3 linked regions of the Drosophila melanogaster genome follow. The protein of the gene in region 2 interacts with the protein of the main gene of each other region in a pairwise test. Each region holds a gene or a part of one and is shown on either strand. Other genes may lie near its edges. The genes, in order: CG6337, Cpn and Tet.

Region 1 (5,527 bases), on a different chromosome or scaffold from region 2:
TTTGTGTAGAAAACAAAAGCAAAAAACAAAGATATATATATACATGAGAAATTGCATAAATTATATAACATTATATTTATTTAGTTAAATATTATTAAGAATTATACGGAAAGATAATAAGATAAATACAGAGAGAAGCGAGAGCATATGTAGATAAACCTAACTAATTTTAATTTATAAAATAATAACAAACACTAGCCGTTGGTATCGTAATAGTGAAAAAATAAGAGAGTAATTAAATGGCGAAAAAGAAGGAAATTTAAAATCAATACCCCATTAACTAGTCACAGTACTTAAGGTTCCACAACTAAACCGATTACGATGGATAATTTCGATTTTGTTCTTCATCCGCAACGATTTTCCAAGGAAGTACCCTAAATATTGCAACTCAAGCACATCCAGAACAAAAAACAAAAAACAAAGAAAAACCTAATAAAACACAAGATCACGCAATCTTTATAAACTGCAAAATTATTGAAATAATAAAAATCGTTAAATCACCTTTCAGCGTGAATCATATCATTGAGCTTTGCTTCACAAGAAGACGGGAAGACATTCTAAACCAAAAATAAAAACTAAAAACTAAAAACCTAAACTAAAACAAAACAAAATGCAAACACAACGTACATACATATATTTCAAATTATTTAACGCAATTGAAATATAATAACGAGAAGTATTTATAATAACAACGTTTCCAAACAAGTTACTGAAACTTAAAAAATTTACGAGAACTAAGATTAAGAAATCTACAGAAAGAACACACACCAAAAAAAAGAAGCTTTTGTCTGCGCTGGCTGAGTCGAATATTCTATAACCATAAATATAATACCTAAATATTATATATATCTATATAATTTCCTTTCGTTTTTATATCACAGCAACACGGATAGCAACAAAATGGGAAACTTATTTATTATGCAAGAGAAACATAACAGAAAAAGAAAACACTGCAAAGATAATAGTATAAAATCCATAAGCAGATCAAAGATGCGAAAAACAAGAAAAGAAAAGAAAATAAAGTGAACTTGTTAATTTTTAGCATTTAAGTCTGTAAAGCTCCGCTTGTAGATGAAAAATCAATAAATAAACTAAATAAAATGGTAAATTCAATAAATGGAGACAAAAAAGCTGTAAGCTTTCACAACAAAAAACCAAACGATACTTTTTGGTAGAAGACGGGGGATTTTTTTTCAAGATTACTCTTTATGTAATATTCAAGATCTCGATGAATTATCTTAGCTTTATTTGAGATATTCCCAAATCTATTTCTTGGATGGTTCTATTACTATTCTTCTATTCTATGAACTATCATAGATATAGATAGGCACACTCTTAAGGTATCATCATAGTGTTATTATAGATATTCCCGAATCTGTTACTCGAATTCTAGTTGATTTAAAGATAATGCGTCTATAATAATAATAATAGTATTGCTTACTAGCATTAAGTTTTTTTAAAGAACTTACAGCATCTACTGAATCCGAAACAAAATCATCATATAAAAATTTACACATAAAACTTAAGTTTATTAACTTGAAATAAGGTCAAATCGGAATCCTTCTTAGGCAAGCGCACTGGGAAAGACGGCATTCTTGGCAATGGGCTGATTGGACCTGCGCACGATCCTGATGTAACCCTCCTCGCCCCACGTGTCGCCGAAGGAGTTCAGGCAGCGCCAGTAGTCCAGATTGGAGTCCACGTCGTGATCGTAGCCCACGACCACCAGGAACTGTGAGCTCTTTGGATTGGTCAGGGCACGCGTCTCCTGGACATAGACGCCACTGGAGTACTGCATGAATCCAAAGGTAGCCGGATTGTACTCGACTATGACGGGGAATCCATTCGATACGTAACGCATTACGGCGGCATCATCGTTGTCGGCCACCGTGGAATAGCCGGCCAACTTCACGCCCACTGACACAGAGGATGGGGGCTGGCACATACCCGGCGTTTTCAGGCTATTGTTATTCGGATAGTCCACCTCCGGATAGAGATACGCATCTGTCAGCTGGGTGAGATAGTTGAGGGCAGCCAGGGGCGTCTGGGTGCTGCATCCGGTGCCCATGCCCGCACAGTCCAGCAGCTGCTGGGCGGACAAGGACGAGGGCAGAGGATTGGCTGTCTGCACGGCATTCATGATCTCCACGGCCTTGGCGGTGGCATAGGCCCAACTACTGCTGCAGTTCACGCCCTGATCCTCCACCGCCACGGTGAGTCCGAAATCCGTGATAATGTCAAAGCTGGCAGATGCCGCTTGACTGGCCGGTGGATCACTGGCCGCCGAGGTCACCGTATTCACGGCTTTGGGCAGCAGGGCTGCGAACTGGATGAGCCGGATGTCCGAGAACTGATTCACTGCCTCGCGGTAGGTGGTGCGATTCCTATCGGCCTGGGCATTGTGCTGCGCCACCTGGTTGCGGTTGTAGATGAAGTAGTAGTTGGCGAAGTTGCGAGCCGAAGTTGAGGCATAGGTCTTGTTGAAATTGTCCTGTAAATGGAAAGATTTGAATTCCATTACTCAATACAATCCTTTTCAATGCCATAAGATACAAGATATAATTTCTAATTAAATCCCATCCAGACTTTGTTTTCTTGATGACTCACATACCTCGTAAGTTTGAAAGTCCACTAGATCCTGGCCATGATTAAAGGCCCATCCACTGTCGATGGTTAGTAGAAGGCAGCAAAGTAGCAACTTGAACATGACGAAAACCCAAATCCGCACCAACTAATGCCGCCAGAACCATGGAACGATCTTTTATAGGCACCGGCAAACTCTCCTTCTGATTGCAAACGCAAATAGAAGTTTACCAAAGCGACTTACTTTCGCAAGAAAAGTGCAAATACTCGTAGATTTCTACGAGGCCTTGAATTCGCACTTGGCCAGCAGCACTCAAACGTACTATCCGTAGTATTCATATTCCGGGTTGGGTCTCCTCGATAAGCCGACGTTGGTAGGAAAAGTCGGGGTGCGCTTTGTTTGCCCAATAAACTTGTCAAATGCCCCGTTTCGTATCGTTGCGATTCGGCGGTGGGTTCTCGTATCTCTGTTAATTCGAAATCCCCACTGGCCCAGTTCAGAAAAAAACACCCAAGCCCATATGCCCATGGAGCATCGTAAACGCCCCTCTAATGCCAACTTATCGTTTAGTCTTCAGGTTTTGTCTTCAGCGCAGGCATGATTAATCACAGTCATACTTTGTGGCGCCCATAAAAGTTGCAACAGCGTTGATAGATAGATACGTAGATGGAAAGATACATAGACAGATAGATAGATAGGCCCGTTGGAAGACTTGGCCAAATTGCTGTAAACCAAGTGCTAAGTGAGTTGTTTGGTAATTTCCATTGCGGTAGTCTAGCATATACTACAGGTAGTATATATTCGAAGTAGTAATGAGGGATCATCTTGAAATTTTGCAAATATGTAGGTAAGTCCATAAGGGATTTCAGCAGTCAATGAACTTTTTAGTAGACGCAACAACAAATTCAGATTCCACGAATCTGTTAATTGAAATGCAAATAAATTGGCCACTAATCAATCTCTTCATGGTTCAATTTCAATTTATAGTTATTGAAAGTCGAGACCATTATTCATCCGTCTGCATCTTTATCATTCTGTAATTGTATTATTTACATAAAAATCAAAGTGTTATTTATTTACAAGGGATATAATAGTACAAACTACTTAGAGACGCTTTAAAAACTTTCCTAAAACTTTGCTTGCTGCATTGAAATTTGTAATCCTATAGGCGCTACAACTGTGACTTCGATCTCATCAATTATTAACTATTTAAAAACATGTTTGACTATTTTCTCTTTTGTTTCAAATGAGTTAATATGCGTTGTTATAGCCACCAACACATTAGGCAATCGACAATTACTAAGCATGCATATAATGGAGACAGCTATAGACCCATAAACCAGATAGCCCGTCGAAATGAAGATGAATATGCTCTTGTCGGTATTCCAAAAGTTTCAAATTGGTGGCCCATCCAGTTTTGGCCATATGTCCCACGGTCCAGCTCCAGACTCTATAAAACCAAGGTGTGCGGGTCGAGCGCCGCTTATAATCTCGCCGGTCTTCGAGTCTTCAGCATCTTCGAATAGTTTTGTGATTTGTGAACGCGGAAGGTGTTTTGAACATATCATTCCCAGATATCCATAAAAGGTGATTAAGTCGATCTTTTCAACATATTGTGTCGTGTGTGTTGTTATTTTTCGATTCATAATGGTCCGTCGAAGACAAGAGAACTGCAATTGCTTACATTCGACTCGAAATTTGATTTTAAACAGGGGAATCCATCGCCTTTCACCGGGCACAGCATGTGATCAGTATTTTATGGCAACGAAAGTGAAATCTTAGCCTGCGGTTGCCTAATCTAGATTTGATTTTGATTTATTTGGGCCCTCGATGGAGCCAATTTGGGAGCTGAGGAAATAAAAGGAGAGACGAAGCCGCGAAATCATTCATACATTTCGAAATTCATCCGAATCGAATGCTTGCACTAATGTAATTATGCTAAGCATATGCAAATTAGCTCATTCACCCAGTAATTATTCACGTCTCATCGGTGATCGAATTCGTAAAACAGACCGGAAATACGAACAGCGAATGCTCTGCTAGTTTCAAAAGTCTATTTAATTTGGTAAGATCGAATAAAGTTGAGAAATTAAGACAGCGCATGATTAATTACCCATTAACGCGATTGCTGACAGAAGCGGATAGTCAGCGTGATAGAAAAAACCAATAATAATTAGTTTTTTATTCGTTTAATCGATCATTATGTTTTTGATTGTCTTAGAAACAATGTTGATTTCTGCATAGGCGATCATTAAACGGTTTAGTTTCTTCAAAACCAAGCTTGTTAAACAAACAATTTATTAGTTTCTTTGTTTTATTTTGGTTTTGCCAAACATTGTACTTACTCAAATTACTCAAAAAGACATAACATCATTTCTTATGTCAATGAAGACACTCCACTGAATATTTACCAATAAAAAGTATCTACTGGATAAACATTTTAATATCGAATAAACGCATAGATTTTGAGTGTGGCCTGTTTTCAAATTGTGCAGATTTTCTAGGAAGCAACGTTGCTTTTAATATGTCCATAAATAAATATTTATAGCGGCTCCACTTATAGGAAACTTCACGATCTGCACGGCAGGTTGGTTCGATTGGAGGTGAATGAACGGGTCGAGTTGCGGCCAAGTGATTAACGTTGACAGATAGATGTGGCAAGAAAAGGGGCATGAAAAGGGGTCGCGGGATGCGATGAGATGGGATGGGATGGTGTAACTATGTATTGGCCAAGTGGTTACCTAACGCTTTCCACTCGCTCTGCTGTCCACCGTTCCAGATGCGGATGTGCTCAACGATGTGGCTGCAGATGACGCTGGGACTGGCCCTGCTGGGTGCTGTGTCATTGCAGCAACTGCAGTCGTTTCCCAAGCTCTGCGATGTGCAAAACTTCGACGACTTCCTCCGGCAGACGGGCAAGGTGTACTCGGATGAGGAGCGAGT
Region 2 (5,527 bases):
GACAGGTGCCTCCACAGGTATGGGTTCTGTAGGGGTCGCTAGGCTTGGTTCCGGTTCAGGTATGGGCTCTGGAGCTGTAATTGGAGCGACAGCCACTTCTGGAGAGGCAACTGCTTCATTTGGCGGCGGTAATGAGGTCTCTGGTATTGGTGAAGATGTTGATTCTGCAGCTTCAACAGCTGGCACGGATGTAGTTTGTTCTAATAAATCCGGAATAGGAGCTGGTGGTTCCACAGGCTCGATTATTAAATCCGCAGCTGCCTCAGGTGGAGCAACGTCTGCAACTGCAACTTCTGTTGTAACTTCGACAGGCGGTGCAACTGGCGTTTCAATGGCAGCTTCTGATAGTACAGAAACATCGATAGGTTCCGTAGGCACTGCCGCAGGTGGTGCCGTGGTCTCGGGAACAGAAGCCGTAGTTGGTGGAGTAGAAACGATGGGAGCAGCGGCAGACGGAGCTTCAGCAGGTGCATCAGAGGGTGCGGCGATCACAGGAGCAACTTCTGGTATATCTAAAGCTGCTATGGTCACTGGTGCTGATGCTGGTGCTGGTGTCTCAGGAGTTTCTTCAGCCACTACAGCTGGTACAGGTTCGGCAGCCACAGGAGGGAGAACAGGTGGCGCTAAGTCGACAGGAGTTTCAGCAACAGCACTAGGAACGGGTGATGGAGCGATCACCGGAGGTAATTCGGGAACAGCAGATGCAGTGACATCCGGATCCGTTACTGCTAGTGTTGCAGGAACTGGTGTCGTGGCAACGACTGGCGCTGGTATTGATTCTGCGGCCACAGGAGGTACAACGGGTGGTGTTGTCTCAGCAACAGCAACTGAAGCAACTTCTGGGGTTTCTGCAACAACAGGTGGTGCAATGGTTTCTGGCTCTGGGGCTGGAGTAGGAGGTGTAGCTACAACAGTATTCGCAGCAACTTGGGACTCGGCAACGACTGGAGCAAGGGCTGGCGTTTCTGGTGCAGTTGTTAGAGTCGCAGCAGCTACCGGGGGCTCAGTCGAAGCACTTACAGGAGCGACCACTGCGGTCTCCACAGCTGGTGCAACCGACACATGGGGGGAAGCTGCAGCCGGAGCAACGACTGGGGTTTCAGTAGCCGGTGGAGCAACGACCACTGGCTCAGCTGCAGCTAGTGGTTTCGTTGCCACGACGGAAACCTCGGGGATGAGAGGTGCAACGCACTCCGGTATGGTTGCAACCGGAATCTCAGCAACAGGTGGTGGAGCTGGAGTCTCGGCGACGACGGGGGCAACTGCAGGAGCAACGGCAGGCGCAAGAACTGGGGCAACAACAGGAACAGCAGCTGGTACAGCAGCTACAGGTGCTGCAACGGGAACCGTGGTGTTAGCGGGAACCACAGGTGGTGTGGCGATCACAGGCGAAACAACGGGAGTCACGGCAGCCGGAGTGGGGGCAGAGGCAGCAACAGGTGGTGTCGCTATCACAGGCGCAGCTACAGGAATTGGGGCAACAGGAGTGGGTGTTGCAGCAACGGGAGGTGCCACTGGTGCTGAAACAGCGACCGGAATCTGAGCAACAGCAACGGGTGGTGTTGAAACTGGACTTGCTGCCGGCGGAGTTGGAGCTGCAACAACTGGAGGCGCCACAGATGCGACAGGAGCGACGGATGCGGCAGCAATTGGAGCTGGAGCTGGAATAGTAACTGTTGCCGGTTGCACACTTGCAAGGGTGGGCGGTGGAGCAACTGGAGTGACTGCAATCGGTGCCGCTGGTGCGGGAGCCACTGCCGCAGGACTTACTACTTGGACAGGGGCAGCCACTGCTGATGGCGTCACAGGCGCAGCAACTGGTGCTGAAACAGGCGATGGAATGGTTCCTGGTTCCATGTCTATCCTTTGCCCACTTTCACATAAAAGTTAATCCGTTTTTTCCTTTTGGGCGGATTGTGCCTTGTCCAATGCTTAGTTGCAAAAATGTTTCATGGCCAGCTTTTCATGGTCAGAAGACAACTGAAAACAGAGGAATGAAAACGAGAAAAACATGAGACATGGCAAGGCTGGATCTGACCATGATTTAGGCCATTGTCTTAAATAAAATTAAATCGATGAGAAACCACGTAAGAATGAGAAAAATAAGAATAAAAGTTCTCCGGAAAATACTGATTCAAATATCTATACAATAAAATTACATTGATTAAATGAGATTAGAATTGTCTTCACTACATGAGAAGTAAAAGTAAGAGCAATTGAGTTAACTAGTCTCTTGCTTCTGACGTCTATTCGAAATATATTTTTCTTTTACAAAACTGTAGTTGCTAAATTATGTAAGAGAAAACAAGGCACTTGCACAATTTCGTTCAAAAATTCGAAAATAAGCGGTCAGCAATGAAATGGTCAACTATTAGGAACTGCCTCTTAGGTAAGTCAATCCTTTTGAATATTTTCAATATTATTAACCAATTTAATTTGTTGAATAGTTTTAAACAGCGACCGACTTGCCGATGAGAAAAACGGTGTTTAACTGGCCCGTTGACTCAGTTTTCTTGGACATTTTTACCTCTTTTCATTGGTTTACCTTCGGTCAGAAGTCCGACAACTGCCCATTGAGCGCAGAAAGTATACGCATAGTTTCAAGTGCTTTTTGCGTTTTTCCAATTCCCAGACACTAAGGTGCTTATCAGCTGACCTTAGCCACATATTAAATTTGTTCCGGCTCGCACGAGGAAACATTTGGCGCTGAAAAGTGTGCTACATGCGTTGGCGCCCACCACTGCGTATGAGTGATATTCGCATATTATTCGATTATCGATTCCGTTCGCATCTTGCCAAATGCATCGGGTAGATAAATCGGGGAAACGCTTTCAAGAATTTATTCGCGATCCAGTGCATATCGCTTACCACTCGCTTTGTCAGCTGCACTCGCAGACACATAACTGGTTATTTACACAATACTGATTACTTTGCCGTATTTGCAATGTAGTTGTCAACAAAATGCGACAGGTTCCCGCGCTGCCCCGCACTGCCCCGCCCTCACCCGACCCTCCACAATCCATTTGCTATCGTGGCCCATTCAATGTCTGATGCAATGACAGTTGACAAACTGCCACTACGTAGCCGTTGGATCGGAACACATTAGCTCGGTGGAAATGTAATCGCAAAGAACTAAGAAATAAATCTTTCAATTTTTCGAGTGAATGCCGGGTAGGAAGTGCAGCCAAATGTAAAGCAATCCACAGAGGCAGCCGGCAGTTGCACATGCCGTCCGTTGGAGCAAGTGTAATGTGATCTGCGTACAATTTGCAGGCGTCGTTTTAAAAAGTCCAACACCAACACGTCCACCTACACCTTCGCCTCACTTGCCCCTCTGCTGGCCGGGAACCGAGCACACTTGAGACTTTTGCAAATAGTTTTTCCACATATGAACAGAAAGAATTTTTCTCGCAGGATGGAAAATAAAAAGAGTTGCGAACGAAAAGAAAAGAAATACATACATATATATAAATAGACGAGATGGGAAAACGCTTATATGGAAATGATTTCACTGGAGAAGTGGAGGAGCGATGCGGAGTAGTTGTGAAGATTGAATTGGCAGTTCAATTTCACGTATTATTGACATTTAAGCGTAAGCATTTGAATATAAACTGAACCCGGCTCAGGGATTGAATGCTTGGAAGGCCGAGAGCGAGTCCTTTCACAGGATGCACAGACATTGGCTGCCTATTATTTTCTGTGCGATAAATCAATCGCATGAAGCAAAATGCAGAGAAAATACCAAGATAAGTGGAAATGAAATTACATCAAGCATACAAATTGTATTTATACTTTATTCTATCTCCTCCTGCATCACTGAACTCGACAATTGATCTGAGCTGCGAAGGAGTTTGCGTACCTCAACAAATACATTTGATTTTCTTCGAATCTGTGGTCACTGATGAGTGATCTCAAATTGTAATTGCCAGCAATAGAATAGAAGTTTTTGTCATATTTTACAAATATTTCTCAAACAATGTTTTATACCGAAAAACAATACTCGGATGAAATCCATTCCCTGAAACAATGGATATTGCATTCCTGGCTATTTTCGAAGGTGAGGCGATCAACTACAAAAAAAAAAAAAAAACATAAATCAGCGCAGCGTATACACCTAATTGCCGTCATTTTGCACGCACTGTAAGAGTGTGGAAAGTCGGGCCCGTGTGCGATTGGAAAAACCAAATACAAATATGAATACAAATGCGGGGCGAAAATCGAAATTGCGAAATGTGGCAAAAGGAGCTCAAGCTTCAATCCGGAGCCGCTTCCGGGTGTATTTTGCTAAATTGCAAATATTTCTCAATTCGCATGCATCAGCAGAGAATGCAATGCAAACAATTTTCACCCAGCGGCCACAATAAAAAGGGAAACCCCCGGCGAACGCAAAAAACCCAAAACACCCACACGCAGAAGGGGCACACAAAGTGCTGGCTAGGCAAAAAAAATTCGCAAAAATCGGCGCCGTATGGCAACCCTGGTCGCTGTGTGGCTGCTGCAACTATGGCGCAATTTATTTCCAGTTTGATTGGTTTTTTCGTGCTTAATTGCACTTGGCTTGCGGGGGGTGGGCTGGTTGGTGTGTTTTCGACCATCCAATTGGGATTGGTGGGGGCGGTAGTGTGGGTGATGGCTGGTAGTTGCCCCAATTGGTTGAAAGGTCGCGCTCATCACGTGCTTTAATAATTTATTCAAATTAACACGCGTCAGCCTGCCTTTCCGCTTCCCTGGGAAAGTGTCTGTTACTGCGTTTATGCGGAGTGCATGCTGCAAACTATAAATCAATTAAATAATAAAGAGGAAAATATTCATTAAATATATATATTATTATTGTTTAAACATTTCTCTCTTCTCCGTGCAAACTAGTAGATCCGACACTTTCCATGAACATTCTTATTCTCGAAGCGTGCGGCATAAACATGATATGGCCCAGCGGGTGGCTCAGACTGCGCTCGGTTAATGGCCAACACTTTGTGGTCAGAGCAAACCGGAAAAACTGGCAGGCAAATGCAAAATATTGCACACAAGCACCCACTTACGGTCGCTACCCCCACCCACTTTTCAGGCTATTTTCACCTCCCTGGAAAGTGTGAGTGTGTAAATTACAGCTACATTTTTAATGCATTTTTATTTACATTTACATGGCAGCACAAACAGAGCCCAGTTGAGCGGAGGAATATTCTGGGCCGACACGAACTTTTGACACTTGACAATTTGATTGTTTTTAAGGCAAAGTGTTAAATTATGCAAAGCACATAACAAACACAAATCGAATGGCACGCACGTACACACTGTATCAACAGCAATGGCAAGTAAAATATGAAATATTGAACAAACAAAAAACAAAACAACAATTTGGATCAATTAACTTTTGAGAAATACTCCAGCCACTTTAATGATTTTTCAAAATTTCCATAGTGGCAAAATTCCAAGGACTTGACACTTAAAGCACTTGGTGATAAGTGTTTAATCTGTTTAAGGATGTGAACGGGTTTTCTAGTTGAGTTGTCAGCTTAATAGACTTACG
Region 3 (5,527 bases), on a different chromosome or scaffold from region 2:
ACCCAACAACTACAACAAGAACAACAGCAACAGCAGTGAGCAGCTGAAGTTTCTGGCAGTCGAACAACACCAGTAGAGGCGGTCAGAAAGAGAGGGCATCACTGGCGGCTGCTTGGCAACCGAATCGCGAGTGAAAGAGATGTCCTGCTGATGACGAGCAGTGCAGAATGCGGCATCAAAAGCAACAACAGCAACAACAAGTCAGAAGCAGCAACAATGCAGCGGCAGCGCTGCCAGCTTAGGCGTTGTTGCTGTTGTTGTGCGTTGTGTATAAAAATTTAACATCTGCTCCTTTCATGATTTCAGTTTCGGAAAACTCAAAACTCGTACAACAACGAGGGCTGTAATGGCACAAATAAAAATATATATGTATGCATCTGTGCGGAGTGTCTATCCCTCTCTTTCGCTCCGGGTATGCCCCTCTCTTTCTAGCGGCTTGTTGTTGCTGTTAATGCATTTGGCTTGCTTTACTCGTATTACGTGTGCATTTGCCACTCCGAACTAAAAAAAAAAAAAAAAACGAAGAAAACATTGAGATACTCGGATGCTGAGATACCGAGATACTCTGGAAATGCTCCTTTGGAGCTGTAAGTTGATAAAAAACCGGCGGCCAACTGGCGGATTTTAAACGGAATGAAATAAATTAAAACGTGGCGAGGAAATGCAGCCACAGGATGCTGTAGTCCTGCTGGGTGTGCCATGCATCTTATGGTGCATTCAACTTCAGCCAGTGATTTTCACTCTTCTTCAGCGTTTGCCCTTGGAGAAGTTAGTCTGAATACACGCTGGGTACATGGAATCGATCTAGGAGATGGCTGCACTTGAAGTTGTAGTTAAAAAATAAGCTAAATTTTATTTTAATATTCTTATAATCAACCTTATTGGCTAACATATCTCAACGTGCATTCGTTCCTACACATTTGCAAGCATTTTATATGATTAAAAGGTATACATACTTGAAATTGGCTAATAAATCTTACCCCTGTTTTCAGTGTATTACATTTATCATTTTTTTTTTTTTTTTTTTTTAATATTTTATTTTTCTATTCATGTTCTGTGCGCACATTTCATTCATTTTTCAAATACTTCTGCAGCACCAACTGTCAGATACATTTCTGGTTTCCTTTGCCGCACGTCTTTTTATTGTGGCTGCTTGCAGTGTGAATGTCCTTTGCTGTCCTCACAAAGGACACGCAAAAGCCAAATAAGAGCGAAAAAAGTAGAAAAAAACGCAAAGAGCGGAATGCAGAAGAACGAAGAGAGACTTGCAGCAGCTTCGAGTGCAGAAAACCCAACTATGAAGAACTTGTCTGCGGATCGTGAACTTAAGAACTATCTAAGAGGAGAAAAGGCCGGCTGCATTTTGTTGTTTGTGCAGATGTTTCTTCGAGGTTCCTCGAGGGATTTTATGGGTATGCGTTGCGTATGGGACAGGTCAGTGTTCGGAGGATTCGGATTCAGATTGAGATTCGGTTCCGGAGGATTCGAAGTCGGTTAAGGGTTGTGCCCCTAGGTTGAATGATTTTCCATTACGCAATGCAAATAGACAGCAGCGTTCCGCGTACTCGCTTTGTTTTGTTATTTTCTCTGTCAGCGCCAGGCAACAATGCAACTGTCAAGGTTTCCATTTTCCGCCGTGGATTGCTCTCTATGAAATGGCGAAAAAATGGCAGCTCCACTAATAGTTGGCATGAAACGAGGTTGCAACAGGACCGCCACGAGAAAAAAGTGAAATGAAATCAACCGCCCCCGCTCTTTGCGCAAAAGTAAAAAAGGGGCAAAACATGGCAGGCAAATTGTACCAAAATCCCGCAACGGCAGCCAGTGCAATGCCAGGATATATGGCACATGCCCACAAGGTCCTGCCTCCGTGTCCTGCGTCCAGCGCAGCAGTGGCAGCAACAGCACCGCAGCAACGTCCACGGCACCGCAGCAACAGCAGCGGGAAAGTAAAACTTATTCGGCTGGTCGAACTGCGAATGCCCTGAATTTCGAAACACATTTTGCGAGCTTATCTATTCTGATAAAATTGTAAATAAATCAATAAACTATACGCCAATTACCATATAATGCATGCTTGAATTCAATGTGCTTAATTGCTAAGTAAGCTAAGTAAGCTCCTTGGTTAGGGTATCAAAACAAAGGCAGCAGAAAATATCTCGTAGCGCACATAGATTGCAAGTTCGCATTGTGAGCGCGAAACTAGGGAAAAAAATTTTTAATTGGAACAACAACTGTACAGCGGCGCAGCAGCAGCAACAACAACAAAAGCGCACTTCAAACGCCGCATGTTCGTATCCGTGTCTTGTTGCAGCTGTGTGTGTGTGTGTGTGTGCTTGTGTGTTAATGAAAGAGAGAGGATGCAGCCGTAAATGTAACTGTGTGCGTGCGGCTGTGTGTTTGTGTGTGTGTGCCAGGACTCTCGAGCCAAAAGTTGCAGGCGCAACAGCAACAAGCAGCAGTTCGAAGTTAAATATTTAAGAATTTACAAAACTTTTTAGGGAACATAAAAATAAATACAAATTTCAAAACGAAAGAATCTTGCTCTTCATCTTTTAATGATGGTCAAACTGAAAAATAATATATTTTACGAATGACTAATAAGCACAAAAATAAATTAAAAATCATTTCTTAAAAATGCTTAAGTATTGAATGAATTATACAATATAAAACCGCTAGTTAAGAGAATTCGGTCGTCATGCTTGTTGTATTCTTAAGTTCGAGTGGAGCCCGCATTGGTTCGATGCGAACATGAACCTGTTCGCTTCGAGCACGAACTTGTTCGATACATTTTATGTTTGCTCCTTCATTTTCATTTTCATTTTCAGTTCAGTTAGTTCAGTTGTTGTGTATCCTTCGGGTGAAAAGTTTCCTACAAAACACGGACTTTTGCACCGCCGCCGCCGTTCGAGCGCTAGAAACGAGTGCGAGTGCGTGTGAGACTTACTAGCTAACTAACTGATTCTGATTCTGATTTTCGGGAATATACTATCCCTTCGGTGTGGGTGTGATCGAGTTCAAGGACTCGCGACTAACTTGTTCCAGTTTCGAAAACAGGCAGCCCCAAATAATGTGACCAATGTGACCAGTGAATTAGAATATCCAAGAGCAAAACAAAATCAAGAACTCCCGCAGATGCCGCACTTGCAGCTCCAAGTTCTTCAGCTTTTCATCCAAGTCCCGGTTTAATTTGCAGCTCCAGTTTCGCGCTCGGTTCTCTGGGTTTCCCTGCAATTTCCGCGATTTCCTTCTTTTGTTCCCTTCGTTCCGTTTTCGCGTCGCGGTTTGTTATTGTCAACTTTCGTTTTCGTGCGGTTTTTCGCGGCTTTTCTAACGGTCCAACGACGGTCGGCAAATGGATAGTGAAACTGGCTTGGATTTCCAATAGCTTCTAAGTACTCAACATTTTCCGAGGAAAAAAACTCGTGAAAGGACATGGATTAACAACTAAGGTTTGTAGTAGGGATTTAACAATATACATATATTTAAGTATATATAAATCGGGATGCTTTATGTATACCTTTTATCTATATATAACTATTCTGCGTATATAATCATTTTATTTGTGGTACCAAAGAAAATTAAATAAATGGTTTTTTTTTTTCATTAATTAAGCATAGCCATCAAACAAAAAGACAAATAGCCGCATACAGAACATAACTAACTCTTTGAAAACGAATCGTAAGGAACGTTTCCAAGAAACCAAACAGAATGGCCATATCCCTTTCATAAAACCGACTCCAATTAATAAAGCCAATTGAGCAAATGTATAAAAATGTTGAGCTCCAATCAAATATAAAACTCTACGCTTTTGTTCCTAATCCCTCAATTAAACTCACCTCTCGACCGAAAGCCAAAGAAAAACAAATTTCCAATTGAAATTTGCATTTGGGGCACAGGAAATACTTTCCAAGCGTAAACATGTAAACAAAGAGATAACAATTGTTATTGGTCATCCGAGGATCAAATTACAATAAGTGCAAGCTCAAAGAAGACCCAAAAAACAAAATCACAATCACCTAAGCAGGCAATTTCAGCGAGCTTTATTTGTGCAAGACAAATAAACAAAATAAAATAATAATATTACAGTAAAGGCAGAGGCTTCTCTTTTTGGACCGCAAACACTTATGGCAATGAGTAATGACTTTTAAAAGAAGAACTGTTTCTGATAGATACATTTTGCGTTTGTCTTAGCGCCAACTTAAATTAAAAAGCAGCGGGCTCTGAACTTCTTCTGGTTGTGAAGAGTTGAGCCGAGGCCCTGAAAACGTGCCAGAAAGCGACACACAGAGATACAAAGATACAGATACTCGTAACTAACAGTAACGTGCGTACATCTTCAAGATACTTTTTGGCGCGCTCAGAACAGAAGCGCCGAAAACAGAAAATAAAACAAGGAGAGTACATGGGAACGAGAAGCACAACAGAAAGCGAAAAGCTAAGAACACAGAAGGAGATACTTGTGCTCCTACAAGATACAGCTACAGATACAGATACATGGCAATAAAGAGAATTTAAAGAAAGATAAATAATAAAACCAAACAAATTGAGGCGCAGGCCGCGAAAGAAGTTCAAGTTCAGCGAATGTATCTCCGTGCCAGTATCTGTATCTGTTGGATGCAATTTGTCGGCCGCCTGCAAGTTTATTACCGTCTTACCCCCAATGAATCTATATATAGCTGCCATATTTTGTTTACAATTTTCCGCCGCCCACGATTCATTCATAAAACACATCAGCCCAAAATAAAAGTTGGCAAAAGGACACGCAGGCAAATTAAGGCTTTGACCTAGAGAAAAATAAACAACACCCAGGATATAACCCCTGCCCCCGTCCTCCCCCCCTCCACACACTCGTTAACAGTAACGTGCGTGACTTTGAAAGCAGGCAAGGCAAATGACAAACTCGTAAATCTCAACACACTCACGGGAAGTGGGTGGTGCGTTTTTTTTTTTGGGATGTGGGTGAAAATGCGAGGCATAAGTGCCCCTACTCCCATTCATATACGCTTAATACTCAGCCGCGTATGCCTGTCCATGGACTCCTTGCATGGCTTCATTGGGCCCCACAGCACGTTTCATTTCATCCACACCTGCACCGCCGCACCACTCCGCGCACAACCCATCCCCACACCCAAACACCCAAACACCAATACCGCCAAGCTTCGGCACAACTCAATTTGCACGTGACACAACGAGGAACGAGATGTGGAGCAGGCACTGCCAGGCGAATTAACTCGCGTCAGGAATTTAAAGAAAATATCTTTCAGATACTATATATATTTTTAAGCATTCAAGTTCTAAGCTAGAACGAAAAAATGTTATATGAGAGCTTGAAATTAAGTTTTCGTATTAATATTCGCCATCATTTATAATATTGTAATAACTTGCCTTTAAGAAATTCAAACAGAGAACCGACAGAGAATAGTCGCTTAACTAAAAACAATTTTATTGCATTTGATGGCTTGATAAACAGCTTTCACTAAATTGCCTGCGTTCCATAGTATTTGTCTTGACTTTCAAGCTACCT

Evidence for each region.
Region 1: the proteins of Cpn (region 2) and CG6337 interact in a two-hybrid assay, tested with the Drosophila melanogaster proteins (one large-scale study listed by BioGRID).
Region 3: the proteins of Cpn (region 2) and Tet interact in a two-hybrid assay, tested with the Drosophila melanogaster proteins (one large-scale study listed by BioGRID).

The regions. Positions count from the first base shown.
Region 1 is NT_033778.4:13,832,356-13,837,882, forward strand, and holds CG6337 (uncharacterized protein), read right to left. Parts: upstream 2,742-5,527; 5' UTR 2,708-2,741; coding exon 2,612-2,707; intron 2,492-2,611; coding exon 1,565-2,491; 3' UTR 1,220-1,564; downstream 1-1,219. Other genes in the region: CtsL2 (cathepsin L2), read left to right, coding at 5,364-5,527.
Region 2 is NT_033777.3:12,163,694-12,169,220, forward strand, and holds the start of Cpn (calphotin), read right to left. Parts: upstream 2,494-5,527; 5' UTR 2,428-2,493; intron 1,981-2,427; 5' UTR 1,858-1,980; coding exon 1-1,857. UniProt on the Drosophila melanogaster protein: Plays important roles in both rhabdomere development and in photoreceptor cell survival. Might function as a calcium-sequestering 'sponge' to regulate the amount of free cytoplasmic calcium. It binds 0.3 mole of Ca(2+) per mole of protein.
Region 3 is NT_037436.4:2,876,458-2,881,984, reverse strand, and holds the start of Tet (Ten-Eleven translocation (TET) family protein), read left to right. Parts: upstream 1-2,826; 5' UTR 2,827-3,452; intron 3,453-5,527. UniProt on the Drosophila melanogaster protein: Dioxygenase that specifically demethylates DNA methylated on the 6th position of adenine (N(6)-methyladenosine) DNA.